Caenorhabditis elegans: one gene and its partner. The protein of the gene in region 1 purifies or fractionates together with the protein of each later gene. This does not show direct contact. Each region holds a gene or a part of one and is shown on either strand. Other genes may lie near its edges. The genes, in order: C04E7.3 and Y57A10A.5.

Region 1 (15,519 bases):
TGGTGATGTGGATGGAGCTGGCGGTTCACCGAGATTTATTAATCGACGGGTTTCCATTCTTCTGCTCGCAATTGTAGATCGAACATTGAAAGCTAGCTCCTCGACAGTGTTTGGTAGGCTGATCGTTTGTTCATCCTGTTTTCTTGCAAATCTGACTTGTTTTGAAATGTGATAACAAGAAGACGGGAACGGCTCTCCAGACAGACAAGAAAATTCGTTGGATACCATTGGTGCTTTATTTGAAGTTGATGGACTTGTTCCATCAAAGCCAACTGTTGGAAGGTGTGGATCGTATAGTGAACTAGCTTTGCCTTGAGATATCGTAACGATTTTCAAAGAATGACCATCATTCCATTTAAATTTCTTCACAGGGGGACAAGTTTCCTCGAATGAATAAGTTGTTCCATTTTGGTTTTGTATCGTTGGTATAATAAAAGGTTTCGCAACAACAACAACATTCAGTCCATCACAGTCGACGTTTGATTTTTTGATCAATAACTTATTGTTTTTTCTCAATATTAGTGCTTGAATATTTTCGCGTTTTGAAACAAATTTTCTTGGAACTTTAAAAACCGGTGACCTCGGATTTTCATGCCTTTTTGCGGTAGGGGACGGGTGCGGCTGGAGCATACAAGTATTGAGATTGTTCACAGTATCTCCCTTAAAAATCGGTATGGCATTTCCAAATACGGTGACAGGAGACTCACACTTTTCTCACGTCGCAACGGTCGGAAACTATGGGTCGGAGGATATAGGCTGTGTGTCTGTCTGCAATAACGCGATGACCAACTTTAATAATTTAAAATAATAATTCTAGATGTAATACGCTTCACTAATGTTGTTAGCATATTAAAATTAATTAAAGTTGTACAACATTCTAACACACGCTAAAGCGCGTGCTCTGACTTGCGTACTCTGAACTTAAATCTAAATTCAAAACTAGATACCGTATATTCTCTATTCGTGCGGCACCCCTACTGCCTTTTCAAAAATTAGTCCGCCAGTCTCTAATGGTGCGGCACCCCTTCTTTTTGGTTGCGAAAGCCACCTCAAATATTCGATTACTCCAATGGTACCTTGTCCATTTTTCAATAATTTATCATAAATTTTCACTTAAACATTGTATTACAGTGTCTTTGGGGGCAAAATACACAATTTTCATAGAATTTCACATAGAATATGAAGTTTTTTTTTTTCTCTAATAGTGCGCAAGTCGCAAAAAGCCCGGAAATTAGTGCGGCAGTCTCCAGTAGTCCGGCAGTCTCTAATAGTGCGCAAGTCGCAAAAAGCCCGGAAATTTGTGCGGCATACTAATAGAGAATATACGGCAATAAACCTTTCTAGATTTATTTCTTTTTGCAGAATTATTTTTCCATGTTTTTAAAATTTTTTAAGCATCATAAAAGTTTTTTGACTAAGTTTTTGGCAGTTATAACTTTGAAAAAGCCTAATGATTCTGGAAACATTTTCAAATTTTGGAAGGAAGAAAATTCAAGGTCACGGGGATTTTGGTCTTCCTCATTGAATTTTTCGCGCTTCATTGACAATCGCTTGCCGGACAACGCGTGGGAAAGTCGTGTACTCCACGCGGACAAATGCATTTAGTTATACAACTACATATATATATATATATATATATATATATATATATATATATATATAGCCGCGACGCGACATGCAACGCGCCGTAAATCTACCCCAGATATGGCCGAGCCAAGTTGTCACAAAATTATTACCCAGTTTCTGCGTCAAATTCCACGAAATTCGAATCGCACATCAGCAGAAGATCCTCGCGGTTTTTGGCGATCCAACGTGGTTCACAATTCTGATTGGCAATTAGAACCCATATAATACGAAGATTAATAATAAAATTACGAAATTCTTGATCACGCATAAAATCTGAAATGTTCTCAAAAACTGATCAAATCATTGTTTTCAACTCACCAAAACAAACGTTAATGTTGAATGATTTCGGGTACATTGCTAATGAAAGTTGAACCTGCAAAAAAACATCATTTCCACTTTGAGTACGTAAACAATTTCATACGTTTGTAGCCAAAACTTCAAAACCGGCAGAAGCTGATATTTTGTAGCATTTCAATTTATTTTCTTTGTCAACTGTCACAGTACATTGAGTTTGTTTGTGATTTGGATTGAAACCTAGCACAAGAAACAAGCCACTGAAAAATATATATTCATAATTAAGAATTTGGAAAATTTTTAATTTTTAGAGTTTTAGTTTTGGAAAATGTTGAAGAATTTTGATTTTATTAGGTTGGCAAGCAAGTCCTGTCCTATTTTTCAATCATTTATTTCTCGGAGCAAACTCAAACAAGAAATCAGTAATATGCTCCATCATGATCATCAAAGTTCTACCAACGTTGGGGTAACTTGTGGATCCCCTGACTGTAGAACCCAGCGGGCCGGGATTCAAAGTATAGATTCAATTCCACTTTGAGATTTTTTCTTATTGTGAAGGTTCTTCCTTGAACGGTTTGAGTCAGATAGGAGAAAATTCAATAATCACTTGAAGGAGAATACGGTGGCTGAAGAAGAATTATCCATCCATATTTTACCAGTTCCTGCATCACTTGTTTTGCAACATGTGGTTGGGCGTTATTATGTTGGGAATATACTTTCTTATCCTGTAAGGCTGAACGATCGACTGTTTTCTTCAAATTCCGTAGTTGTCTTGAGTGGGTCTCTCCGGTAATAAATTCACCCTCAGGTAACAGCTCCCAGTACAATGGGCCAGCCAGTCCCACCAAACAGAGAGCATACTTTTTTTTGGGTGATGGCCGAGTTTCGAAACATCCTGTGGGGTTTGTCCTTCTCCAATCCACTAGGCTTGTCTGTGGTGGTTAGCGTACAGCACCCACTTCCCGTTTCTAGTAATAAGCTGGTCCAAACAATGGTCAACGCCGGGGGAGAGTGAGGAGATTACATGAAACGTCAACTTGGCGGTTAAGGATGGCAAGGTCAAATCACGAGGTACGAATCGACCAAGAATTTTACTCATGCCGAGCGATTTCAATCCATCTGCTATAGAGTTATAAAAGACCCTAAGCTTGCTTGCAAGCTCACGGGTAGTTTCAAATGGATCTGATTCAACACTGGCTTTTAGTGCATTCAAATCCAACTCATGTGGTCTTTTGACCATTGCTTTTCAATAAAAGAAAAGTCGCTATTTCCGAAATGATCAAACCATTTCTATACGTTTTTATACGAGGGAGCATGTCCATCATAAACGTTCTTCAGAAGATTTTTGGAATCCTCTATAAGGGTGAGCTCCAGGAACATGTATAACAGAAAATGGTGAAGACCAATTGAGGTAGGTATATTCAGCGTAGGGCTGTTAAAAAGAAAAGAAAAGTCAACTCATTTCTCGTTTTTATGAGACAAAGTCGTCTCGTGTCTCACGTAAATGAGACACGATACGACTTTTTCTCAAAAAATAAGAAGAAACAATATTTGTCTCACGAAAAATAGAAAAGCACAGAAAATCTAGCCACAATAGTTCACGGAAATAGCTAATGACTGTTGAAAAAAACTACTTATTTTATTGAATTTATTAAATGTTTTTCATTTAAAAAAAATTAAAGATTAAAGGACGATCCGTTCTTCAAGTGCTATGCACTGCGGATCTGGGGTTCAGGTACACTGCCTGGTGGTGATCACCTCTGGGCTGTAATTTAAGCCACGTCCTAGCCGGGGACTGTGGCCGATAATCCAGTCGTGGATTGCTCCACTTCCCAATAGAGGCTGGGTGAACCTAGGGGGGTGAGACCAGACTTGAACTCGTGACCTCCAGACTGCTAGCAGCCACCACTACCGACTGAGCTATCTGCCCCCCCCCCCCCCCTTGAAAAAAGAGACATTATTCGTCATTTTTTGTCAGCTTATCAATCACTACGAGTGAATAAACACCGAAATTGATTTACAGCCCACCATGGCAAAACAAAAAATTAGGACACGACTTTCTTGCCAACCTAATATATGGGCCTGCAGAGGCTAGCAATTTTTATATATATAATATAATACATATTTCAAATCCTGTACCTTGGGTGACATTGATGTATTGGTTTATCTCCAAAATATGATCCTCGTCTAAATCTTCCATATTTATCTGACAAATTTATAATCCGGCCATCAATATTTTTTGTTCTAACAAAAACACATGGTGGGAAGTTTTGTGCTTGGCTAGGAACCATCTGGAAAAAATTGTTTAATAGTTTGTAAACTGCAGTTAAAGTTCATGAAGGTGGGCGAGTTTAGAATCGAAAATAGTTTTTAACCGACACAAAGCTGACACAGATTTTTTTTAATAGATTGTACACAACGTAGTGCAAAAGGTAGTTATTTGGATGCGGCCAACATGTTTGGGGTTCCGCGCCGCACTATACATGCGCATGCATGTGGATACATTGCGGCGCCTTACCGGCACCGGAATGGAAGCCCAACAAAAAAATAATCAACCTACTCAGTAGTGTAACAAAAACAAATTTTTTTCAAACTTTTTCGTTTCTTTTTTTTTTCACAAGTATCCACAATTAAATATGTCTAAAGGATCACGAGTTCACGGTTCAAAACGTTATCCTTTTTATAACTGTTATAATAATGCTAAATTCAAATTGTTAACTACTTTAGCAAACAAAAAGTATAACGTAGATAATTAAATTGCAAACGAGTTTTATTACTTATTTGCAAACGATAATTTTGTGAAAGTTCATCAAAAAGAATTCTCAACAAACCGTTATATTAGTGATGACATCAAATCCCAAAACATCGCAAGCTCCATCGGACAAGCATAACTTCATTTTTGGTTTGTCTGCATCAAGTATGAAACTTATGGAGGCTGAATTCAAAATTTCCAGCTCAAAGTCTCCGTAGAATATCTGTTGTGGATACATCTAAAATACAACGTTTTTTTATTTCAAAAATCAATAAACTCCAAGTGACCCCATAACTCCAAATTTTATAATAAGTCTTTTCAAAAGTTTGGAAAATATTATTATTCGTTTATTCGTTTTTTTGGCTATTCGTTTTTTTCGGCCAACGACTAATTAGGCTTAAGCCGATTTTCAACATTTTCGGCTAACGGCTAATTCGGCTAAAGCCGTGTTTCAAAAGTTTCGGCTAACGGCTTATTCGGCTAATTAGGAAAACGTCGGCTAACGGCTAAATCGGCTAATATTAGCCGAGTTAAAGGTGGAGTAGCGCTTGTGGGGAAATTTCTTCAAAACATGCCAATGACAGAATATCATATTTAAAAAAATTATAAAATTTTTCTAAATTTTATATGATTTTTTGAAAGTTGAAAAAATCTCGAATTGCATCAAACTCCCATTTGAATTACCGCCAATAGTTCGATGTTCGATGGAGCGCGCTTGTCATTTTTTAATTTTATTTCATCAATTTTTCACATTTTTGACTGATTTTTCATGTTTTTTTTGCGTAATTTTACTGAACATTCAGTGAAAAATTCAAGATAAATGCAAATTGTTCACTAAAAACAAGTGAAAAACAGAGAAAGAACGTTTTCCAACGACTTTGAGCCTGAAATAATCGATTGAACGATTTTACGCCTTCATCTCCTCTTTTTAATGAACAATTTGCATTCATCTTGAATTTTTCACCTGAATTTTCAGTAAAATAACGCAAAAAAAAACATGAAAAATCTGTCAACAATGTGAAAAATTAATGAACAAAAACTGAAAATGACAAGCGCGCTCCATCGAACATCGAATGTATTGGCGGTAGTTCAAATGGGAATTTGATGCAATTCGAGATTTTTTCAACTTTCAAAAAATCATATAAAATTTAGGAAATTTTTTTAATTTTTTGTACTATGATATTCGGTCATTGTGGTACCAGGCATGTTTTAAAGCAATTTTCCCACTGGCGCTACTCCACCTTTAACCGGTCGGCTGAAATTTGGTTAATTCCGTTAACTTTATCAGTTTCAGGTTTTTTGTTGATTCAGCAAGTTTTTCACTAATTTTGTGGGTAATCAAGTAAGTAACAACAATTCAATTGGTAACAGAAACAAAAAAACACTGAAAGCAATTAAACAATAAAAATTTGTTTGCAAACAATGCAATTGTGCTCCATTGTGTTAGCCGAATTAGCCGAACGGATATTTCGACTAATTCGCCTGTTAGCCGCCCACCTCTGATCCCCACTGACGACTTTCCATCTTCATAATGAAAATGTAAAGGTGGTGTAAGCAAATTTTTTATTGCTTCATTAGGCTTAAAGTTGCCTGAAAACATCGAATTTTATAATGGAACTTTATATTTTTTTTAAATTATGGCGGATCAAAGAATGACCTACAGTTAGTTAAAAGTTGAAATATGGTCGCTTTGTCAATGTAACAGCGGCTGGAAACTAGTTTTTTTTTTTGAAATCACAGTCTAATTTTGGGTACGTATGTTGATTATTTCACGTTTTCAACTCGATTTAGATTTTTTAAAGCCGATAGACAAAGAGATTTTTTTAAATGTTTTACCATCTCTTCATCCATCGAATTTAAAATATCTAACTTTTAAGTCGACTTGTAAGTCTTGTAAGTCGAGTTGAAAACGCAAAATAATCAACTTCGGCACCAAGAATCCGACGGGGATTTCAAAAAAGTTAGTTTCCAGCCGCGGCGACACTGACAAGTTGATCAAATTTCAAATGTTAACTTATTTTAGGTAATTGTTTGAACCGCGATAACATTTTTTTGAGAAGTTATCAAGAAGCTTCATTATGAAATTTCGTGTTTTCAGACAATTTTGAGTCATTACTTGTATATATATTTCCTGCCCATGGAATAATGAGTAAATGTCGCCATATTTTACGCGCAAAAAGCATTTGCGTCACTTTTTCTCGCATGCTATCTCAAAATGTCAATGGCGAGGGGGCGTTGGAGAAAAGAGACGCAGGCGTCTCCGCAGTTCTCATCAAATCATAGACACGTAAAAAAAAATAGTGTCCGTTTGTTTCAGTGACGTCCCAACGTGGTGAGACCCATTGTGGTGTGACCCATTTTAGCGGGAACTCAAATTGCTTCAGAAAAATTTCGGCGGGAATTCAAATTTCTTCATAAAATTTTGGCGGGAATTCAAATTTCCTCAGAACATTTATTTTTACAAAATCTTACCGTGCAAGTTATAGCATCATACTTATGTTCAAAATGCCACAGAATCTTATCCACTGTCTTTAATGAAGTTTGGGGAACATCATGCCCCATTGTATTCTCGTAATAGCAGTTCACTTCATTTTCTGTTTCTTTCAACTCTGCCAGCAGGGGCTCAATCTTTTTCCACTTTGCTTCTCCCCATTGATAATGGTGAGATGGATTAACTTTCGAAAGATAAGAAATATCGATATTTTTGACTTTCTCCTGATCGTCCACAATTAGCATATTTTCAAGATATGTTGGTGTTGACTTTTCAATTGCCAAGCTGGGCTTTGCCGCGGTTTTAAATTTTATTTCGTGAAGTTCTTGACACTTTTGGTTGATGATTTCCTCTTCTAATAATTTATTAGCTTTAACAAGTGATTTGAATTGATTCCAGACTTTCAAATTTCCGTGTTTACTATATCTTGCATTTCTCAAAAAATCAACTTCATTTCTTTCCATGCTCATCATTTTTTTGGCCAGCTCCCGATTATTTGCAGTTTTCAGTTGGCTTCGTCTCTGGTATCGGTCGTTGTCTCTTTTCAACGCCATTTCAGATCCACTCCACTCCACTGGTTGAAGATTTTCGTTTTGCAATACCAGATCCTCAATCATTGTTCTTAGTCGCACTTGATCTGAGACCTTTTCAAAAGATGTCCCCTCGTTTTTCTTTGATTCCACTTCTTTTTGTTGCCATTTTTTCTTTGCTGAGGGTTCTGCCACTAACGCATCGTCCCTTCGCCTCTCCTTGGTCAATTCTTTCAATTGTTTCACTGCTTGATCTTCACTTAATGATCCTATAGGAACAGTCAGTATTTTTGACTTCTGCTCTTCTTCACGATGTGCAGTTTTACGGGACCTTCTTTTTGTTTCACTTGATTTTTCTTGTTTCTGTTTGTAGGCTTGCGCCCATTCAGTGAGATTCTCGATTTGCTCATTTTCGGAGACTTCTGCTTGGACACGTTCAGCTAAACTTGCTGATAACAACTCATCCTCTGAGATGGAGCATTCTGTTTTTTTAGGTTCTGACAAAGACGTCGGCTTCGAAGCTTTTTTTGGTCCGGAAGTTGTTTCCGGTTTTGGTCGCTTCTGAAAATTTGGCGTATGACTTTTTTACAGGTAGGCAAAACATGAAATCTTCAGGCGCCTGCTACTGCGCTGCATACCGGAAACCCTCGGATTTTTGCCCTAATTATACGACTTTCGTATTGATAAGAACACAGAAAAAAAGTCAAAAACATACAATACGCTAAACACCAAAAAATAGATAATAGAAGATAAGAGCATTTCACTAGTTGCTAGAAAGTATATTTCATAGAAATTTTTTTTTGGAAATTGTTTTTTCACGCGTCCACAATTTTTTTATTGTTTGTATTGTTTTACTGTTAAAGGTGGTGTAGTTGAATTTTTTTATTGCTTTATTAGACTCAAAATTTTCTGAAAACACCGAATTTCATAATGAAACTTTTTGAAAACTTCTCAAAAAGTTATGAAGGCTCAAAAATGGCCTAAAATTAGTTAAAATTTGAAATTAGACTGACTTGTCAATATGATATGTATTCCCCCAAAAAGTTGTTTTTTGATCAACTTGTTCCTTGTTGCCTAGTTCACTTACCTATGCTTTCGTCGTTGAATTTAAAAGACTAATTGTAAGATGAACATGAAATAAGCTACACAGAATACTAAATTTCTAACCTTGATTGTACTTTGTTGAAGTTTTTGAGGATTGCGATACTTTTGTTGACCTTGATAGGTTTGGGTATAACCAATCCAAGGTGGAGCTGCAGCGGCTCGTTTATTCGGAACCGCACTTTCTCTCGGATCTTCCATCATTTTTCTATCATTTTCATTTTGATTCGAAAAAGCATTATATTGTTCCTGAACTTGTTGATTGGGCCCAACTCCTGTATTCAGCGGCCTTGAAACCAGCCCCTCCGGGGACAGAGCATTGGGATCAGGCGGTCCTACTGTGTTGCGAGGCAACGATGCATGTCCTTGCGTACTTCTTGAGCTGTCTCCCGATTCATGTCTTGACAGTGAATTTCTTCCAGGTTGGTTCTTATTTGTATAGCGCACTGGATGCGTAAAATCATGCGATGACATTATGGGAGTATCTGCAGATATTTTGTATGAAAGTTTGTTATTTTGCATTCAAAAACTAGGAATGTTCGCCTATTAATTTCATAAAGATTTTCGTCGACCGCAAAAAAAACTGTGAACTGATTTTTTCAACTTTTCTGTGAGTTTGCATTTTATTTTAAACTAAGCAAAATCAGCACAAGAACTTTAAAGGAAGCTCCAGAAAATTGTTTCCGGGCTAGGATGCCAAAAATTTGTGATGGTAATGTTTGCTCTGAAAACTGTATGAGCAAAACTCAAGTTATGATCAAAAATCTCAAATATTGTTCAAATAAATGAGCATGTTCAATTAGAAAGGCTTGAATTTTGCAATTTTCTAAAGTTTATCTAAAAAAAATGAAATGCAACAAAAAACTCATGACGTGTGACCCAGGGCTGGGAATTTTTTGGTTTTTTTGTTTTTTGTTTTTTGGTTTTTTTGGTATTTTGACGAAAAATCGATTTTTTAGTTTTCTCGGTTTTTTGGGACCAAAAAAACCAAAAAATCCAAAAAACAAATGTTTACCGTGTCTAGTCTCGACTCGAGACTATTCTGTATTAAAATACATTGAAACATGTATTTTAACACAGTTGTGACGTCATAAATGTATTTTAATACATTTTGCAACATTACTTGAATAACGCCATTAAAAATGAACTTAAGCATCAAAAATTTTTTGGTTTTTTTTTGGGTTGGTTTTTTGGGTTTTCCGAAAATTCCAAATTTTTGGTTTTTGGTTTTTTTTTTTGGTCCTAGCCCTGGTGTGACCCTAAATGTTTTGTTACCCTGTTTAATTTTAAGACCAGAATTTTCCAACAAAAAAATACCTACCAGTTTGTGCTGTAAAGTTTGGAATAGCCCGTATATCAGGTGGGTCGTTTACATTCATTTCGACTTACGAATATCTAAAAAAAATATGTTATAATATATAACGCAGAAAAGCAATTAAAAGATCTCTTGCAGTAGAATAACAAACATTGAAAAAGATTGAGTCAAGAAAGAATACCTCGGCATTCAGAGGCAACTTCCTGCCACACTTTGGCAACTTATTTAGTGCCACTAAAATAATTTGCCGAATTGCTGGCAGGAAGTTGCCGAGTTGTTGGCAGGAAGTTGCCACGTAGTGGCAGCAAGTGGGAAAGAACGCTCCTCGGCATTCAGAGGCAACTTTCTGCCAAACTTTGCTTACTTGCAACTTCCCGCCAAACTTTTGCACATTCCTGCCAACATTTAGATGTTGCTGAGCGTTCTTTCCCACTTCCTGCCAACAACTCGGCAACTTCCTGCCAGCAATTCGGCAACTTATTTTAGTGGCACTAAATAAGTTGCCAAAGTGTGGCAGGAAGTTGCCTCTGAATGCCGAGACTACTTAAAAAGCATGTATTTTAATACAGTTGTGACGCCATTAATGGGTTTAAATATGTACATTTTGCAACATTACTTGAATGACTCCATTAGGTTTTTGTGAATTTAAAGGTAGAGTAGCGCCAGTGGGAAAAGTTTTTTGACTACTCTAGTTGGGCCAAAATGCCCACATAACATTTTTTATCAATTTTTTTGGAAATTTATTATTTACTGTCAGAATGTAAGAATTACTCAGCTTTCGCCACTCAAAACTTGGAAGTCGACCGAAAAAAATGTTTTCCAAAATGCACACATTGGATTAGGATTAGTGTTGTTTTAAGCCTAAAAATGCAAATCGATTTCACTTTTTAATTAAATTATCATTTTGAAAGAAAATTGATAAAAAACGTGTTGAAAAAAAAATTGTTGACTAGTTATACTACACAAGTACCAAACAAAATTTTCAAAAAATATTACACAAATCGATGTTTGCAGAAAAATTAAATTTTTAAAGATGTGCTTGCAATCAAAAGATTTTGAACATCATTTGACTAACGGAATGAAGAAAGCATAGAAAACAGTAGAAAAGGAAAAGACCAAGGCGGCGAGACCATAAATTTGCCGGATAGAGAGGACACATCAAGTCGCTTCACCGGCTGCGTCTCCAGCCTTTCAACACGTTTTCTTGCGTTTCTTTGCTTACTGCACTCTCTTTCAGTGTCATATCGATTGCCATTAAACACGAAGAGCGAGCACGTGAACCACTGAAAAATTGACCGTTTGATTTGCAAAATATTTCTATATTAAAAAAAAGCATTTCTGTAAGAGCATTTGCTTCTTTGACGGCGCTGTCAGGCTTTCGTTACTTAACGAACCAACAAGTGTTTTACGTCAGCTAATATGAAAATATTTCAGCTATTAAAAATATGTATATCAAATCCGTGTCTTTCAAGTTGTAGAGCAAGCATAAATAGAGATTTTGTGAGCACAACAACGCTCCCATAATTATGGACCACCCTGTAACCCGTTAAAGGTGGACTACACGCTGTGGGAAAATTACTTTAAAACATGCCTATGGGGTCACAATGACCGAATATGATGATAAATAAATTCGAAAAAAAATCTAGATTTTATATGATTTTTGAAAATTTGAGAAATCTCAGTTTTCACCTAGTTCCTATTTATATTTCCGCCAATTGATTCATTCGAAGGACCGCGCTTGCATTGTTTATTCATTAGTTTTATTTATTATCATTATTCCACTGATTTTCTTCATTTTGTTTATATTTTTTTAAATGAAAATTGAAACGAAAAAAAACAAGATAACTGCAGAATGCTTGTGAAAAGGTAATTGAAAATGCGTAAAACAGTAAAATTATAAGTTTCGACGACAACAAGCATGAAATTAGTATATTTCACAGTTTTATGCACTTTCAATGACTTTTTAGCACACATTCTGCATTTATCTTGTTTTTTTTTCGATTCAATTTCCATTTAAAAAACACAAAAAATGAAGAAAAACAGTGGAATAATGAGAATAAATGAAATCATTACTTATATATTTTTAAAAAAATACAGCTTATTTTTCCTGTCCGTACCGTTTGTTTGTTTGTTTTTGTGACCTCACACCCAACTATACTAAGAACTGTTGGCGGGGTCCGTCTCCCTTCGTGGTCAGGCCCATCGTGGTGAGACCCATCGTGGTGAGACCCATTGTGTCGAGACCCGTCGTGGCGAAACCCATCTAGATGAGACCCATCGTGGTGAGACCCAAAACTTTGGCGGGACATTCAAATTTTCTGAGAAGAAACATTTGGGCGGGAAATTCAAACTTTCTGAGAAAAAATTTTGGCGGGAAATTTAAATTTTCAGAGAAAATATTGTGGCGGGAAATTCAAACTTTCTGAGAAAACTTTTTGGCGGGAAATTCAAATTTTCCGAGAAAAACTTCGCGACAAATTAGGTGAAAACTGAGATTTTTCGAATTTTTAAAAAATCATATAAAATCTAGAAAATTTTTTGGAATTTTTCAATCATGATATTCGGTCATTGTGACCCCATGGGAATTTTAAGCAATTTCTTCACAGAGCGTAGTCCACCTTTAAGTGTTGAACAAAGTTATAGTTTTCAGTTCGAAAACAAGCTGAATATGTGTTTATGATTTCTGATTTGCACTTGATTGTATTCACTTACTTTTCGAAATAAATAATAAATTATTAAGGGTAAATTAGTTTAAAATGAGCAAAGATTAAAAAAATTGTTTCTTTTTCAGAACTCAAAATTATCGTACTTCCTCCAGTTGAAATAAAATCTTCTATATCTATATTTTCAAAATCAAACAAATTGACAGGTTATCTTTGTATTATTGAATTTAAATGTTTTATCTTATTGAACAACAGTTATATTGACGTTATAAGCCGGAAAGGTGAAGGGGAGTTTTTCCAAAAACATTCCTGTAATAATTTCAAAAAATCAATTTGGAGTTGTCCTACTTTTTGGTATTTAATGCATGTGTTCTCGAAGGAAAATATTGGCTAAAATATTTTCTGAAACGTGAGATGTTTTTAATTCATTATTAATGAGAAAAATTACATTAAGTGACAAACATACAACGGTTTCTCCATTCATTGTAGAAATTAATGCAAGTTTCTAATTTTCGAAGCAAGTGAGATCAGCCAAAAGTAGAATACGGAATCATTTTGATTGAAATTGGATGGGATGAACATTGAAATGAACGAAAAACTAAGAGTTTATCTGATAAACTTTACTTTTAATAAAGTATATAGTTAAATGTTGATTTTGAAAATTATACGAAGCATAAGTTTTAATTAAATAATGAAACAGGGCTGGGCGGCAATTGTCGTTCGGCAAATTGATTTGTCGACAAATTCGGCAAATCGGCCAATTGCCGGAAATTTTAATTTTCGGCACATTGCCGATTTGCCGTTTGCCGGGCATCAGATTTGCCGGAAATAATCAAAGGGAGGGCCACTGTTTTGAAGCATAGGTCTCACCACGACAAAACTTACTACTGTAAATTTTAAATTTTTCCCGTTTTAATTTTGTGTTTTTGTATAATTCCGTTGTTTTTTATGATAACGTCTCACACTAATTGATGATTGACAAAATAGCCTTTGAAAAATCAGAAAAAATTAAGCGTTTATTTTTTCCAGTAATTTGCCGACAATTTTCGGCAATTGCCGTTTTTCCGGCAAATCGGCAAATTGCCGGTTTGCCGATTTGCCGGAAATATTCAATTCCGGCAGTTTGCCGATTTGCCGGGAAAAATTGTTTACCGCCCTGTTCTGAAACAGACTCTGAAGTTAGACAGCACAACTTCCGTTCAAAGTCCAGAAAAAAGACAAAAAAAAAGCAAGCGGTGCAGTAAAAATAGAGGCTACAGAAAAGCCAAGAAACAAAAAAAAAATTGTCAAAAACGAGTATATAGATGCATGTTATCTGGGTGAACTCACAAGTACAGTTTGACGTCTGACCCTTTCCAAACGCTCGAGTCGTAGGAAGTTATTTGACCCCGGAAGATTTGCAGGAAAAAATAAATGCCCATAGATCGATTGGCAAGGACTAGTAGTCCAGAACACGTAGGAAATATGTTTTTTTTTCAGTTCAAAAATAAAAAGGACAGACACTGCGTATCGCATTTTATACTTATGCATTTTCTGTCAATTCATGTTTATTAAGATAGACTAGCGGGCCCTGCGGCCCGCCAGTTGCAGGGGGTGTAGGGCGAGTCCCCCAATCGGACGTAGGTTCTCGGCTTCGCCTCGAACCTGTCAGAGGGTTCGTGACAATTGCAGTGAGCCAATGGGAGGAGAGGAGACCCACTCATATTTTGCTTAAAATCGAGCATTTCTATTCGAATCCCGATTAGCAAAAAAACATTTGTCAGTTGGGGGAATCGAGCAAACGAGCAAAATATTCACAGCCATACACACTAACCACTCGGCCATGCGGGAGAGACCCGACAGGGAGATGCAGGGAAGGGAAATTTCTGGAGGGAGTCGTTTTTCGATTCCGCTTTCTTCAATAATTACATTTTGAGAAAAGGCGTTCGAAAACCGTTTATTACTGATATGTCAGCGGGAAAACGAATTTTTGAAAATTTTATTACAGGATTGTACTCATTATTGATTTCCCAAAAAGGAGACGTATAGTTGAGGGCTATATCTTGTACACAGACAGATGTATAGAAAAAAAACAAGTTTTGGCCTGAAAATTAATAAAAATAATATCTCTTGGCAGAGTATTTCTAATGCGACGAAACTTCATCTTCCATCAAATAAAATCAAAAACTATGAATTAAAAATACATTCCGCAAAACTTTAGTGGATAAAATGTTCAGGAGACGCAGGAAACCACTCCCCCCAGTACTAAATTTTTGAATTATTTTTTTCTTGAAAAATTTTCCCACTGAACTTTTTACAAATTTTATATGTCTCGATGCGTCTTGATGAGACCTACACGTCAATTTTTGGAAAACTAAGAAAACTCGAAAACTGACCGAGTTATGATTGAAAAAGTAGATTCGCGAAAATGGGAAAGTGTGCAAAATGTGGCACTTATTCGTCTTGCTCGGCCGACTCATAAAACTTTTCTTAATTCTGAGTTGAAAATCGTGTTTAGCGAACTTTTTTACGTGGGGTAGAAAAAAAAGTATCGAAAAAGATGAAGTAGAACTTGAGATAAAGACGAAAAACAACTTTTTGCCTTTTGCACTTATGAACTCAAACTTTCTTTCAAAAAATTCACCTCTCTGAGTAGTATCTTGCACATAAATTTGGAACAAAACCGAGCAAAACCCGAATTTTAATTCAATTAAAACATGGTTTTTTGGGGGTAAAAAGAGCAACAAAAATTTTTTTCAAACTAAGGA
Region 2 (15,704 bases), on another chromosome or scaffold:
TCTGACGTCTCTCATCTGCCAGCTGTGTCTAACATGGTGCATCGTATATTTTTATTTTCGGAAAATTGTCGAATTTGCTCTTTTTTCCTCAATTGGAAAAAAATCATAAAAATTTATGATCTCTTAGGCAAAAAAATTCTGCAGTTTAATATTGGAAATTCTGATAATTTTGAAAATTTTGAGAACGCCAGTTTTGTAATGCGAACATTCAATTTTCACCGAATTTTATTTTGCACAAAACTTTGTAAGTTTTGACGGTCTCGACACGACAAAATTTAGGAACCCAGTAAAAAATAATGTGCGCCTTTAAAAATACAGTTGAAACTACAGTACTCCTCATTCTACAAAATTTTGCATTTAGGTAATATCTGTTATTAAGACATTTTTTTAAAAATTAAATATTTCATAAGGTAAAATTAAACTTGAATAAAAAAAGAAGAGCGTTAAAATAATGAAAATTAAATATTATTAAAACAAAAAAGAACAAGAAAACAAGGTGAAAACCCTGTTTTTTCAACAAAAAATTCAACAAAATTTAAATAATTTAATATTGAGAAATTGTGGAGAGCAGGTTTTGGAGAGATTGACGAACGTCGCTGATCGGAAGAACCTGCAATTTTTATTGTTAATATAATTAATTTCTGACGACTTCTAAAAACCTTCTCTGCCAATTCCGTTTGCTCATCAATATTTTCTTGAACCTTCTGCTGAAGCTCTAGAAGCTCGGAGGAATCCAATCCGAGAAGAAATAACTTGAATTTGACCAGGAAATCCTTCATCTTCATAGCTGGGGAATTAGAAGCGGCCGCGGCTAATCTGAATTTGCGACTGATTCCGAAGAAAAATGCCTGCAGTACTGTACAAATGTCGGTGATTTGCAGGAACTGAAAATATAGAATTTCAAATTTTTATTTTTATTAGTACTGTCTACCTTATCATTATCAGTTCTAATCGACTCTTTGATTTTCTGCTTGATCTCAGTGAGCTCCGAACTTTCGAGAAAACAAATGAATTGGATCAGGGATTTCAGGAAGTCATGCAAACTTATGATCTTTGATTCAGCTGAAGTGGCTCCATTATTCGTGGGTACACTGAATTGCTGACGTTCGAAGAATGTAAAATCAACTTTTATTTCAGAAATTGACGGATTCCAGCTGACTTCTTTATTTTCTCGCAAATTATTGAGATTCAAACTATGTGATACATCTCTATTATAGATTTGATAAAAATCAAAATCAATCGGTTCAGGTTTCGGAAGTCCTGGCAAAGATCCATTATATTCCACCTCGTCACTTTTGTATGAAGGATCCTCAGGAATTGATTGATTGTTCATCATTTCTTCATCGTTTTGCAAATGGCCGATATGGGAATCATCAAAATCAAAGTGTCTATGTTCTGGATCATAGTTCACTGCTCCAACATGCTCCATCTCATCGTCGTCGATTTCGTATGGAAGATCCTCAGGAATTGGTTGATTGTTGGCTTGCAAATAATCGATATTCAAGTTGTGATGTGATACATCTCTATTGTGGGATTCACCTTCGTTCACAACTCCAAAATACTCATCATCATCATCTCTTTCAGATATTCGTGCTCTTTTTGGAGATCTGGAATGCTCCATGCCAGAGAATTTCGAGATGGATTTTCCGAAAATAACAATATAAAATTAAAATGCTTTTTCATAATAAATGAAAAACCTTCCAGTCTTAAGTCTTCGGTAATATGCACCACGTCTAAGCATTCTCGCCGTATGACTGTGATCTCCTTCCAACTTCAGCTTTCCATCGTGTGTGGCATACTTGCAAATTCGTTTTTTCTCATCAAGATGAACAGTTCCTATCGTTTGAATTCTGGAAATTAATTTATTTTGATTTAAAATGATTTCAAAGAAAAACGCATGTTCATACTGTTTCAGAAAATCATCGGTGACTTCGCCAGCAAATCCAAACATGACACGAACTCGCTCCTCAATACTGTAGTTCACAATTTGACCCATTTTCGGTGCCAGTTGACGGTGAAATCTTAAAGAGAATATTTTATTATACAGTGCATTTTTTTTCCACTTCTACGACTTTAAAGGGGGCGCATTACGGCGTGGTCTCGCCACGCGCGTGTCGAGACCATCGCTCGTAAATGCGCCCCTTCCCCTTTAAAGTCGTAGAAGTGGGAAAAAATGTGCTGTAGAAGCAGCGAGAGTCTGCTGCTCACTTTCCATAATAAGCTTGCTCCGTCAATTCACTACGTTCACGTCTCCTGAATTCTGACAACTCTGCAATTGATACCATCGGCTCAGTGGCATCCTTCGTCTTTTCAACGAGAAAATTCATCAGCCTCGGAAGATCGGAAGGGTCTTTGGCAATCAATAAACTACGTCTTTTCATGTTAGCCGATAGACCGTGGGCCGCTCCCAACTTCAACGTTCCATCATATGAGATATATTCGCAAATTCGATTGTTTTTATCAAGCTCAACGACTCCTTCCTTTCGACATCTGCAAATTCTAGGGTAACATTCGAAATTTTCTACAATATAGCAGGGCTATGCGGCATTTTTTTTTTGACAAACTCACAAGAATGGCTTATTTCTGCATGATAATCCAACTTTTTTGATCTAAAATTTATATGGACATGTAGAAAACAGGTTGTTCTATCTGAAAATATGATAATTTTCAGTTGAAAAGCTATAAAAAGACATCGAATAGTGCCTGAAAATTGTCGCTTGCCGAAAAAACTTTTAACGGAATCTTTCAGACACTATTCGATGTCTTTTTCAAGTATTTCAACAGAAAATAATGTTATTTTCCGATAGAACAACCTATTTTCTATATGTCCATATAATTTTTAGATCAAAAAGCTGTACTATCATGTAGGAATAGGCCAGTTTTGTGTGTTTGTAGAAAAAATAGCACTACAATATAGCATGTTCATACAGTTTCAGAAAGTCCTCCGTAACTTCTCCACCCAAACCGAACATCAGTCGGACTCGCTCCTCAATACTGTAATTGACAAATTGATCCATTCTCGGTGCCAGATAGTTGTAAAACCTAAAACCAAAAATGTTAAAGAGAAACAGGAAGAATGTTCTCACTTTCGACAATATGTTGAGTACGCTAATCCGTCTTCTTCACTTTTCCTGAATTCTGTGAACACTACACTCGCGAACATTGGGTCAGTGGAAACCTTCGCCTTCTCAACGAGAAAATTCATGAACCTCGTGATTTCGGCAGGATCTTTGCCCCGCTCATTTTTTGATCTCGCAGTACAACCGTGGCATCCTTCCAGCTTCAAGTTTCCGTCATTCGAAGCGTATTTGCTGATTCTCCTTTTCGCATCGAGTTGGACAGTTCCAGTGAGCTTAATTCTAACAATGAATACAGTTTGAAACTTAAAATAAAGTAAAACAGAATAAAATAATACTTACAACGCCAAAAAGTCATCAGGCACTTCACCAGACAAGGCGAACATCATTCGAATCCGTGTCGTGACATTGAAATTGTCCCATTTAGCAATATTCGGAGCAATGTGCTCATGAAACCTGTACAAGTAACCTTTTAAAAATTTTTTTGAATATTTTTTAAACCTTATATAGTAATAAATATGACTAAGCCCGGCTCCATCAAGTTCAGCAAATCGATTGAAGATCCGTCCACCCACCAGCGGTTCAACGACATTTTTCGTCCATTCGACTAAAAAATTAATCAGTCTTCCGAGGGGTGTGTCCATTGTGCATCAACCTGTATACAAAAATGTTTTAAAAAAATAAAAAAATAAGACAAGAAGTATTCGTAAACGAAATAAACGTATTTTCAACAACTATTTTTTGAACTTTTCAGTAAATTAAGTATTACATAAAGTAAAATTAAACTTTAAAAAAAAATGAAGAGCGTTAAAGTAATGGTAATGAAAATTAAATACTATTGAAACAAAAAAGACAACAAAACAAGGTGAAAAACCTATTTTGCAACAAAAAATTCAACAAAAACAAAACAAAATTTAAATAATTTAATATTGAGAAATTGTGGAGAGCAGGTTTTGGAGAGATTGACGAACGTCGCTGATCGGAAGAACCTGCAATTTTTATTGTTAATATAATTAATTTCTGACGACTTCTAAAAACCTTCTCTGCCAATTCCTTTGCTCATCAATATTTTCTTGAACCTTCTGCTGAAGCTCTAGAAGCTCGGAGGAATCCAATCCGAGAAGAAATAACTTGAATTTGACCAGGAAATCCTTCATCTTCATAGCTGGGGGAATTGCCGCGGCTACTCTAGTTTTTCGACTGATTCCGAAGAAGAATGCATCGAGGACTGTACGAAGATCAGTGATTTGCAAGTTCTGAAAATATAGATTACAGTATTTTTATTTTTATCAGTATTTTTTAAACTGTAAACCTCATCTTCTTCAGTTCTAATCGATTCCTTGATTTGCTGCTTGATCTCAGTGAGCTCCGAACTTTCGAGAAAACAAATGAATTGGATCAGGGATTTCAGGAAGTCATGCAAACTTATGATCTTTGATTCAGCTGAAATGTCTTCATTATTCGCTGGTAGACCGTTCGAAGAATGGAACATCAGCTTTTATTTCAGAAATTGACGAATTGCCGCTGACTTCTCCATTTTCTCGCAAATTATTGATATTCAAACTATGCGATACATCTCTATTATAGATTTGATAAAAATCAAAATCAATCGGTTCAGGCTTCGGCTGTCCCTCCACTGCTCCAATATACACCACCTCATTGTCACTTTCGTTTGAATGATCCTCAGGAAATGGTTGATTGTAGGCTTGCAAATGATCGATATGCAAGTTGTGATGTGATACATCTCTGTTGTGAAATTCATCAAATTCTTCGTTCACATCTCTAATATACTCTTCATCGTCACTTTCAGATACTCGTGCCGGTGAATGATCAATACTCGAATTATCTGCCACATCTTGACTATCGATTTCATCACGTTCGACATCAATCGGCAGAAGCACCGGCTCTTCGTCCACCGCTCCGACATCCTCCACCTCATCGTCGTCACTTCCGGATGAAGCATGCATTGCAGGATCAGCAGATCTGAAAATTAAATGAATAGACTGTGTGAATATTCGTGTCAGGATATACTTTTCACTTCTCGCTTTTTTCGGAGATTCCACGCCATCCTCGTCACTGCCACTTTTGTCAGAGGATTTCGAGTCGGACTTTCTGAAAAACCAACGTTTAATAACCATTCTTCCTATATCGAACAATGAACCTTCCGCTATTTCTTGTAGACTTCGAATCATTCGTACTACTACATTGGTGGTCTATCTTTCGATAAAATGCCGCGCTTCTTTTCCTTCTCGCCGAATGACTAATATCTCCTTCCAAATTCAGCTTTCCATCAGTTGAGGTAAACTTGGAAATTCGGTTCATCTCATCCAGCTTAACATCTCCTATTGTTCTGATTCTGTAAAGCAAATATTCGAATTTTCAAAAAAGAACAAGTTCATACTCTTTCAGAAAATCATCGGTGACTTCGCCAGCAAATCCAAACATGACACGAACACGTTCTTCGATGCTGTAGTTCTCCAGTTTAGCCATACTCGGTGCCACATTTTTGTGAAAACTAAACAAAACATCTTAAAGTGAAGCAGAAATAATATTCTCACTGATTATAATAGGCATGTTCCGGTAATCCTCCATCTTCGCTTTCACTGAATTCTCTGAACGCTGCACTCGCCAGCATTGGCTCAATGATGTCCTTCGTTTTTTCAACAAGAAAATTCATCAAATTCATCAAGCTCGGGACTCTCATTGACCACTGCCTTTTGATCCTCGCCGAGGGACTGTGATCTCCTTCCAACTTCCACTTTTATCATGAGAAGTAAATTTGCAAATTCGATTTTTCTCATCGAGCTGAACAAGGCCTTCTCTTTGAATTCTGGAAATTTCAATCATTCGAGAAATTCAAAAAAGTCCACGTTCTTACTGCTTCAGAAAATCATCGGAAACTACTGCAGCGAATCCAAAAATGACTCGAACACGCTCCTCAATACTGTATTCCGCAAGTTTCGCCATATTCGGTACTAAATAATTGTGAAATCTAAACCAAAAGTTTTAAAGAGAAGCCGGAAGAATCTGCTCACTTGGCATAATGAGCGTAATGCGATAATCCATCATTTTCACTTTCACTGAATTCCGTGAGAACCTTCGCTACCACCAATGGCTCAATAATATCCTTCGTCTGATCGACTGCAAATCTCATCAGCCTTGTTAAACTTGTGTGGATGAGGGCCATTGTGCAGCTCCAAAGTAGAAATTAACCTGAATATGAGAATATTTAAATATTGGGAGAAATTAGAAAGGAAGTATTCGTGAATGAAATCAACACGTGAATTATTAATTAATTAGTATTTCGATACTTTAAACAAAAAATTTCTTCGAAAAAAAAAGAACAAAAAACCGATAAAAAAAATAAATAAATTACTAACAAAAACGTATCAGAACAATGCAACACAGGGAAATTTCAAGAGCAAATAAAATTGCAAATCAACGATATTTTTCTACAGGAAATTGTGGAAATTACAATTATCAACGAAAAAACAACAGAACAATGGAACAAAGGGAGAAAATGGACAGATATAACAAAAAGAAAATAAAAAAGTTCAGTGAGAAATGTTGAAGAGCAGGTTTTGGAGAGATTGACGAACGTCGCTGTCCAGAAGAATCTGCAAACATTTTTAACCATATTTATTAAACGGATTCGAAAAACCTTCTGTGCCAATTTCGGCTCATCCATTTCGGCTTGAACCTTCCGCTGAAGCTCTATAAGCTCTGAATTGTCCAATCCGAGAAGAAATAACTTGAATTTAAGCAGGAAATCCTTCGCCAACATATCAGAAGAAGTCGAGTTATAGGAAGAAACTGATCTGATTTTTCTGCTGATCCCGAAGAAGAATGACTCCAGCATTTTACGAATATCAGTGATTTGCAGGTTCTGAAAATCGAAAATCGATATTCAAAATTTCGTTCTTTAATGAGAAATGTCTATTTACCTTATCATCATCCGTTCCAATCGATTTTTTGATTTGTTTCTTGATCTCAATGAGCTCTGTCCTTTCGAGAAAGCAAATGAATTCGATCACTTCTTTCAGGAAATCATGCATATAAATAGCTCTTGATTCAGCTGAAGTGGCTCCATTATTCGTGGGTACACTGAATTGCTGACGTTCGAAGAATGGAAAATCAACTTTTATTTCAGAAATTGACGGATTGTTGCTGACTTCTCCATTTTCTCGCAAATTATTAATATTCAAACTGTGTGATACATCTCTATTATTGGTTTGATCAAATTCGAAATCAATCGGTTCAGGTTTTGGCTGGCCTTCCACCTCGTCACTTTCGTATGGAGGATCCTCAGGAATTGGTTGATTGTCGTCATCTACCATTGTTTCTTCATAGTTTTGCGAATGATCGATATGGAAATCATCAAAGTGTCTATGTTCTGGATCTTCGTTCACTGCTCCAATATACTCATCATCGTCACTTTCAGATGCTCGTGCTCTTTTCGGAGATGTGGAATACTCGTCACTGTCACTTTTGTCAGAGGATTCCGAATCCGACTTCCTGAAAACCAAATGTTTAATAAATGTTTAAATAGCAATTATTTCTAAATCAAACAAAGAACCTTCCGCTTTTTCTTCTAGTATCCCTTGAATCTTTCGCACTACGACGACCGCGATAAGCATTTCGATATGCTGCCCATTTTCTCTTCATTCTCGCCGCATGACTGTGATCTCCTTCCAAATTCAGCTTTCCATCAGTTGAGGTAAACTTGGAAATTCGTTTTCCTTCATCGAGCTCAACATCTCCCAGTGTTCTGATTCTGGAAATTAAAGTTGGGAATTTTCAAAAAAGAGCGCTTGATCATACTGTGCCAGAAAATCATCGAAAACTTCCGCAGCGAATCCAAACATGACGCGAAGACGTTCCTCAATACTGTAATCCACAAGTTTTGCCATATTCGGTGCTAGTTGATTGTAAAATCTAAATCAAAAGTCTTAAAAAGAAGAAGGAATGCTCTTCTCACCGTTTATAATAGACTCCGTCCGTTCGTCCTTCTCCTTCAAGCTCACTAAATTCTCTGAATAATTTTGTTGCAACCACAGGCTCAATGGTATCCTTTGTCTTTTCAACGAGATAATTCATAAATCCAGTAAGTTCGGCAGGAGTGACTCTAATTGGCCACTGCTTTTTAGGTCTTGCAGAAATATTGTGATCTCCTTGCAATTTCAACTTTCCATCATACGATGTAAATTTGCAAATTCGTTTTCCGTCATCCAACTCAACATCTCCTATTGTTCTGATTCTGTAAAGCAAATATCGGAATTTTCAAAAAAAAAAGTGCAAGTCCATACTGTGTCCGAAAATCATTGGAAACTTCTGCAGCGAATCCAAACATGACTAGAACTCGCTCCTCGATCCTATATTCCTCAAGTTTTGCCATAATCGGCGCCAGATATTCGTGAAATCTGAACGAAAAATCTTAAAGAAAAGCAGGAAGAATGTGCTCACCGATTATAATAGACGTTACACGATAATCCATCATTTTCACTTTCACTGAATTCTGTGAGAACCTTCGCTACCACCAATGGCTCAATAATATCCTTCGTCTGATCGACTGCAAATCTCATCAGCCTTGTTAAACTTGTGTGGATGAAGGCCATTGTGCAGCTCCAATGTAGAAATTAACCTGAATATGAGAATATTTCAAAGTTGGGAGAATTTTGCCAAAAAGTATTCGTGAGTGAAAAATACACACAGATAATCAATAAGCATTTTGAGACTTTAAACGAAAATTCTTTCATAACTTGAACAAAAAAGGGAGAGAATAAATAACAATTATGAACGAGACAATAACAGAAAAACGTAGAAAATGGAGAAATTTTGCAGTAAAAAACAATGAGAACTATTCGAGTTATTTAGAAATTGTGGAGAGTAGGTTTTGGAGAGCTTGGCGGATGTCGCTGTACATGAGAACCTGGAAAATAATTATATTCTTAAAATGCATTTTTCACAAATTCGATAAACCTTCTCTGCAATATCTGACTCGTCAATTTTCTCTTGAACACTGTGCTGAGCTCCAGAAGCTCGGAAAAATCCAATCCGAGAAGGAAGTACTTGAACGTGACCAGGAAATCTTTGGCCTTCATTGTAGAATTATTCGATCCAGTTGATTTGATTTTTCGGCTAACTCCGAAGAAGAATGCACCGAGAACTGTACGAATATCAATGATTTCTAATTTTTGAAAAGAGGAAATTTTTCCCTCATCAGCCATCACTTCCTTGATATTTCGCTTGATCTCAGCTAGCTCCGAACATTCGAAAAAACAAATGAATTGTGTCAGCTGTTTCAGGAAATCATGCAGAAATATGGATTTCCATTCAGCTGAAGTGGCTCGATTTTCCGCGGAAAGACTGATTTGTTGATGTTCGACGAATAGTGGGACATCAACTTTTCTTTCAGAAATTGACTGATTTCTGTATTCTTGATTTCCTTGGAAATGATCTCGATTATTGATTTGATCAAATACGGATTCAATCGGTCCCGGCTTTGGCTGTCCCTTCACTGCTCCAATATACTTCACCTCCTCATCGTCACTTTCGAATGGAGGATTCAAAATCGGTACATGAGGAATTGCGACTGCAGCATCAGTAGTCTCTTGAGCAATCGAAGCGGAGAGCCTGAAAAAAAGCATAAAATAAAATTAGTAGTAAATTCACAATAAGTTCACTTTTCTTGAATACGTCCGCTCATTCTTCTTCCTTGGTGGCTCGAATTGGCTGAGTATTGAGGATCCTCAGGAATTGGTTGATTGTCGTCTTCTACCATCATTTCTTCACCGTTTTGCAAATGGCCGATATGAGATTCATCAGAATCAATCGGCAGAAGCACCGGCTCTTCGTCCATCCCTCCGACATCCTCCACCTCATCGTCGTCACTTCCGGATGAAACATGCATTTCAGGATCAGCGGATCTGAAAATTAAATGAATAGATTGTGTAAATATTCGTGTCAGGATATACTTTTCACATCTTGCTCTTTTCGGAGAATTACCATACGAAATTGCAGATTCCACGTCATCTTCATCACTGCCACTTTTGTCAGAGAATTCCGAGTCCGATTGTCTGAAAAACTAATGTTTAATTACAATTCTTTCTATATCGACCAATGAACCTTCCGTTTTTTCTTCTAGGCTTTGAATCGTTCGCACTACGACAATGGTGATCAGTCTTTCGATAAAATGCCGCGCTTCTTTTCCTTCTCGCCGAATCACTGTGATCTCCTTCCAACTTCAGCTTTCCATCAGTTGAGGTAAACTTGGAAATTCGTTTTCCATCATCCAGCTCAACAAGTCCTTTTGTTCTGATTTTGTAAATTACAATCCGGATTAAAAAAAAGAACATGTTCATACTGTGCCCGAAAATCAGCAGACACCCTTCCTGCGAGTGCAAACATGACTCGAACACGCTCCTCGATACTGTATTCCTCAATTTTAGCCATATTCGGTGCCACATTTTTGTGAAAACTAAACAAAACATCTTAAAGTGAAGCAGAAATAATATTCTCACTGATTATAATAGGCATGTTCCGGTAATCCTCCATCTTCGCTTTCACTGAATTCTCTGAACGCTGCACTCGCCAGCATTGGCTCAATGATGTCCTTCGTTTTTTCAACAAGAAAATTCATCAAGCTCGGGAGACCGACAACAACTCGGACTCTCATTGACCACCGCCTTTTCATTCTCGCCGAGTGACTGTGATCTCCTTCCAACTTCCACTTTCCATTATGCGAAGTAAATTTACAGATTCGTTTTTTCTTATCGAGATGAACAAGGCCTTCTCTTTGAATTCTGGAAATTTCAATCATTCGAGAAATTCAAAAAAGTCCACGTTCTTACTGCTTCAGAAAATCATCGGAAACTACTGCAGCGAATCCAAAAATGACTCGAACACGCTCCTCAATACTGTATTCCGCAAGTTTCGCCATATTCGGTACTAAATAATTGTGAAATCTAAACCAAAAGTTTTAAAGAGAAGCCGGAAGAATCTGCTCACTTGGCATAATGAGCGTAATGCGATAATCCATCATTTTCACTTTCACTGAATTCCGTGAGAACCTTCGTTACCATCAATGGCTCAATAATATCCTTCGTCTGATCGACTGCAAATCTCATCAGCCTTGTTAAACTTGTGTGGATGAAGGCCATTGTGCAGCTCCAATGTAGAAATTAACCTGAATATGAGAATATTTCAAAGTTGGGAGAAATTTGGTAAAAAGTATTTTGTGAATTGAAATTTCATAACTTTTCATAACTTTCTTGCAGAACAAAAAATGGGGCAATAACAATTATGAGCGAAAAAATAACAGAAAAATATAACAAATTGGGAAGTTTTGCAAAAAAAAAACAATGAGAAATTTTCGAGTTATTGAGAAATTGTGGAGAGTAGGTTTTGGAGAGCATGGCGGATGTCGCTGTACATGAGAATCTGGAAAATAATCTTATTATTAAAATGCATTTTTCACAATTTCGATAAACCTTCTCTGCAATATCTGACTCGTCAATTTTCTCTTGAACACTGTGCTGAGCTCCAGAAGCTCGGAAAAATCCAATCCGAGAAGGAAGTACTTGAACGTGACCAGGAAATCTTTGGCCTTCATTGTAGAATTATTCGATCCAGTTGATTTGATTTTTCGGCTAACTCCGAAGAAGAATGCACCGAGAACTGTACGAATATCAATGATTCGAGAGATCAGCGGAAAGTTTGGCGTTCGTTGGGCGTTTTTGTGCTGCTTTGGAAGATTTACAGTAGATTCCTTCCAACGAAAGTTTTCCTTCATTCGAAGTATACTTGGAAATTCTTCCGAACTCATCCACTTGAACAGTTCCCGTCGTTTCGATTCTGAAAACTAAATTCGTAAATCTGAAGGTTAAATCTCTCCTTACAGTTCTAAAAAATCATTCGACACTGTTGCCGACAAGGCGAACATCACTCGAATCCGTGACCCGATACTGTAGTTGTCCATTTGATCCATGATCGGGACCAGATTATTTTCAAATCTAAATGAATAATTTTGGAGACGTAAGTCCAGCAGACATTTCTCACCTATTAGCGTAAGCCGTTGCACCAAGCTCTGAACCTTTGAGCTTAGCGAATTTTCTGAATACTGTCGTCGCCACCAGCGGCTTGACGGCACCTTTTGTCAGATTGACTAAAAATTTCATCAATCTTTTCGATTCCGCCTCTTTGAGGACCATTGTGCAGATGGAAAGTCGAAATCGACCTGAAAATTAGAATATATAAATATTAGGAGAAATTAGAGAAGACATATTCGCGAATGAAACAGAAACGTGGATTATTAATCATAATTTCGATACTTTCAACGAAAATTATTTTATTAATTAAAAATTAAGATTATTTAATTAATAAATCAATTATCAGTTATTGTTTGAGTTAAGCTTAAAGTATTATCAGGGAAATCAACGCAAAATCACAGATAACTCGAAAAATAAAAATTTTAGGAACACGAGATTTTCACTTCAGGAAATGACGACCTAGCACCCGGTTTTCGGCATTTTTCGGGCAAAAAAATTAAAAAACCGGAAAATCTTAATTTTGGAAGACAAAAACATAGAGATTTTATTAAAAATGCGCTTTAGAAGCTGGAAATCCTAAAAATTCCTAAAATAAAAAGATTCAAAATTCGAAAATCAATTTGCGCGTAAGCTGCTATGCTTGGTCCGCAATGCACACCATGACGCAATATTGCACCATTTTGGAGAAAACCGCGGTATCGTTTTCTCAGTTTTTTTAGCTTTTCGACTAATTAAAAAGGCAATTATTTTTTGTGATGAAAAAAAAAATCGTGAAAAAAGGCATGCAAGAGTGGAGAAAATAATTTAGCGATTGAAAACGCAAATTTTCCAAAGCAAAACATCAAAAAATCAACAAAAAACAATTAAACGATTTTCAAAATAATTTAATTTAAAAAAAACAGTTTATAATTCGAAAAATTCAAAAAGCAATCAAATAAAAAACAATTATTCAAAAAGGAAAAAAATGTGCATCAGTGTGCAATAATGGAGAACAGGAAGCTTACAGCTTGGCAGATGTCGTTGAGATGAAGAATCTGCAAATTTAAAGTTTTTTGTCATGTTTTTTCTATAAAATTTTTTAAAAAACCTTATTCACGACTGTCGGATCATCAATCTCAGCCTGAACCATGTGCTGAAAATCCAAAATCTGGGGAGAACCCAATCCAAGAAGGAAGCATTTGAATTTGATGAGGAATACATTGAGCGGCATAGAATTAGCCGCGGCGGTAGATCGAATTTTTCGATTAATCCCGAAGAAGAATGTTTCGAACGTTTTATGAAGATCGGCGAATTCGAGAATCTGAATATTTTTTTTTTTGAATACCCAGACTGGTCTCGACACGACAAATTTTTGTTAAATGGGAAAAGGTGTGCGCCTTTAAAGAGTAAGAGTACTGTAATTTTTTTCACATAATTTTTAACAAATCGTGAAAAAAAGTATACATTTATGCAATAGTTTGAAACTACAGTACTCCTTAAAGGCGCATACCAGTTTGAATCTAACAAAAACTTGTCGTGTCGAGACCCGGTAATAACTATTCGATTAACCTCATCTGACGTTGTTTCAATCGATATATTAATCCGACTTTTAAGCCCATCAAGCTCGGGAATCTCTAGATAGCACAAAAATTTCCGAAATTTCTTCAGAAAGTCGTGAAAATTGATGGTGTTCCCTCGAAAACTCGAAATACTGTGTTCAATTTCATCGTCGTCATGCCAAATCTCGTCCAAATCAATTTCAGATTTCGGTTTTCTGAAGAACAAATCAGGATTCTCCAAGTCATTGTCACGCTTATGCTCGAATTTGAATTCTGGTCCCTTCGACGGAATTTCGTGGCGAGACCCAACATATTCATCATTGTTCCATAATTTCTGTAATTGTGCGATCTGTGATCTGAAAAAAAAATTTGAAAAAATTTTAGATCGGGGAATTTCAATTTTTTTTCGGATATTTTTAATTGTTTTTAGTGATTTTTGCTCAACCATACACGGGGTTCTGACCTTCCTCATTGAATTTTTCGCGCTCCATTGACAATGGCTCGCCGGACAACGCGTGGGAAAGTGTCGTGTACTCCACACGGACAAATACATTTAATTTTACAACTAAAATCGAGCCGCGACGCGACACGCAACGCGCCGTAAATCTACCCCAGATATGGCCGAGCCAAAATGGCCTAGTTCGGCAAATTCTTCCATTTCAATTTATGAGGGAAGCCAGAAATCCGTGATTTTAACATTGAAAATTATGTAAAAAATTGGTGAAAATTATTATAAATTAGCCGCTTTAGCGACGGAGCGCGCTTGCAATTCAATTTCAAAAAAATTCATTATTACTCGTAATTTTCTTCGCTTTTCGTCGGGTGTTGTGTGATCTGTGGCCTGAAAAATATCCATTTTAGAAAAAAATCTTAAATTTTTGTTCACAGACTCTTCCGTAATTTTCGCAATTTTCGCACCGCCCTGATCCGAATCACTGGCAGAGCATCGTTTCGCCGATTCGGAATGAGCAGTGCCTAGCTGGAGAGTTCCGTCTTCAGATTCATATTTGCAGATTCTATTTCTCCCGTCAAGCTGAGCAATACCGTGTTCTCGAGTTCTGCAAGCTTTACCAAAATTAGCATATCTCGGTTCAGTGGGGCGCGATTGCAGACCAACTTTTTTTGAGTAACTTTTTTTTTTCTAAAAAGCACGAATTTTTAGAAAAATTCTGAAATCGTTTGAAAAAGGGCTCTGCAAGCGCGCTCCACTGGTCAAAGGTCTCACGTGGTTTGATCTACGTAGATCTACAAAAAATGCGGGAGAAGAGACGCAGAGTTCTCAACTGATTTCGAATGGCTAAGAGCGTGCTGACGTCACACATTTTTTGGGCAAAAAATTCCCGCATTTTTTGTAGATCAAACTGTAATGGGACATCCTAACACCCCGTGAGGTCTCACAGCGCCAGAAATTCCGGCGACACCTTGGCTCCCAGGGCGAACATCAATCGAATTCGTGTCTCTATACTGTAGTTGTGGAATTTATCGATTACCGGCGCGATTTTGAAATGGAATCTGAACGAAATTTTTGGTCTCGACACGAAAATTAAATACTTGTTAAATGCGATCGAGACCTGGTTTTACCTTGAATAAGGTCCATATCCAGTAGGAATTTGATCTCCTTCAAGCTGACTGAATTCTTTGAACACTATACTCGCCATCGTTAACGGCTCAACCGAATCTTTAGTTTTTTCGATTAGAAAATCAATAAATCGCGTGAATTCGACGTCTGTGATGTCCATTGTCTAAAGCCTAAAAATCAATAAAAAGCGCTCCACGGCCAAATAAAAAATGCCACGACGTCACATTTTTTTGGGGCAAAAAAATCCCGCATTTTTTGTAGATCAAACCGTGATCGTCTTTGCTACCAAAAAATTCAGCATTCTCCTATCTGCGGCATTCATTGCGCCAACTAAAAAAATGGTATTAAAAATAAATTAGACATTTTAAACGTGTTGTTTGGTTTCAAATTGCATAGACTATTTAGTCTAGCATCTTTTAAATATGAAAAAAATACTGATTATTTTAAATGTTTAATTTTTGAG

The links.
Region 2: the proteins of C04E7.3 (region 1) and Y57A10A.5 fractionate together in Caenorhabditis elegans (co-fractionation; one large-scale study listed by BioGRID). This does not show direct contact.

Annotation. Positions count from the first base shown.
Region 1 is NC_003284.9:337,022-352,540, forward strand, and holds the start of C04E7.3 (uncharacterized protein), read right to left. Parts: upstream 10,197-15,519; 5' UTR 10,174-10,196; coding exon 10,116-10,173; intron 9,280-10,115; coding exon 8,861-9,279; intron 8,255-8,860; coding exon 7,145-8,254; intron 4,911-7,144; coding exon 4,752-4,910; intron 4,212-4,751; coding exon 4,060-4,211; intron 2,181-4,059; coding exon 2,048-2,180; intron 2,000-2,047; coding exon 1,945-1,999; intron 1,900-1,944; coding exon 1,737-1,899; intron 769-1,736; coding exon 708-768; intron 661-707; coding exon 1-660.
Region 2 is NC_003280.10:12,147,500-12,163,203, reverse strand, and holds Y57A10A.5 (SPK domain-containing protein), read right to left. Parts: upstream 8,719-15,704; 5' UTR 8,693-8,718; coding exon 8,541-8,692; intron 8,498-8,540; coding exon 8,384-8,497; intron 8,335-8,383; coding exon 8,056-8,334; intron 8,013-8,055; coding exon 7,899-8,012; intron 7,852-7,898; coding exon 7,654-7,851; intron 7,593-7,653; coding exon 7,022-7,592; intron 6,964-7,021; coding exon 6,739-6,963; intron 6,695-6,738; coding exon 6,632-6,694; 3' UTR 6,392-6,631; downstream 1-6,391. Other genes in the region: Y57A10A.4 (SPK domain-containing protein), read right to left, coding at 8,868-9,006, 9,057-9,710, 9,761-10,003, 10,052-10,153, 10,203-10,391, 10,441-10,554, 10,598-10,879, 10,928-11,041 and 1 more; Y57A10A.2 (SPK domain-containing protein), read right to left, coding at 13,096-13,158, 13,212-13,424, 13,673-14,018, 14,459-14,503, 14,553-14,720, 15,061-15,174, 15,244-15,401.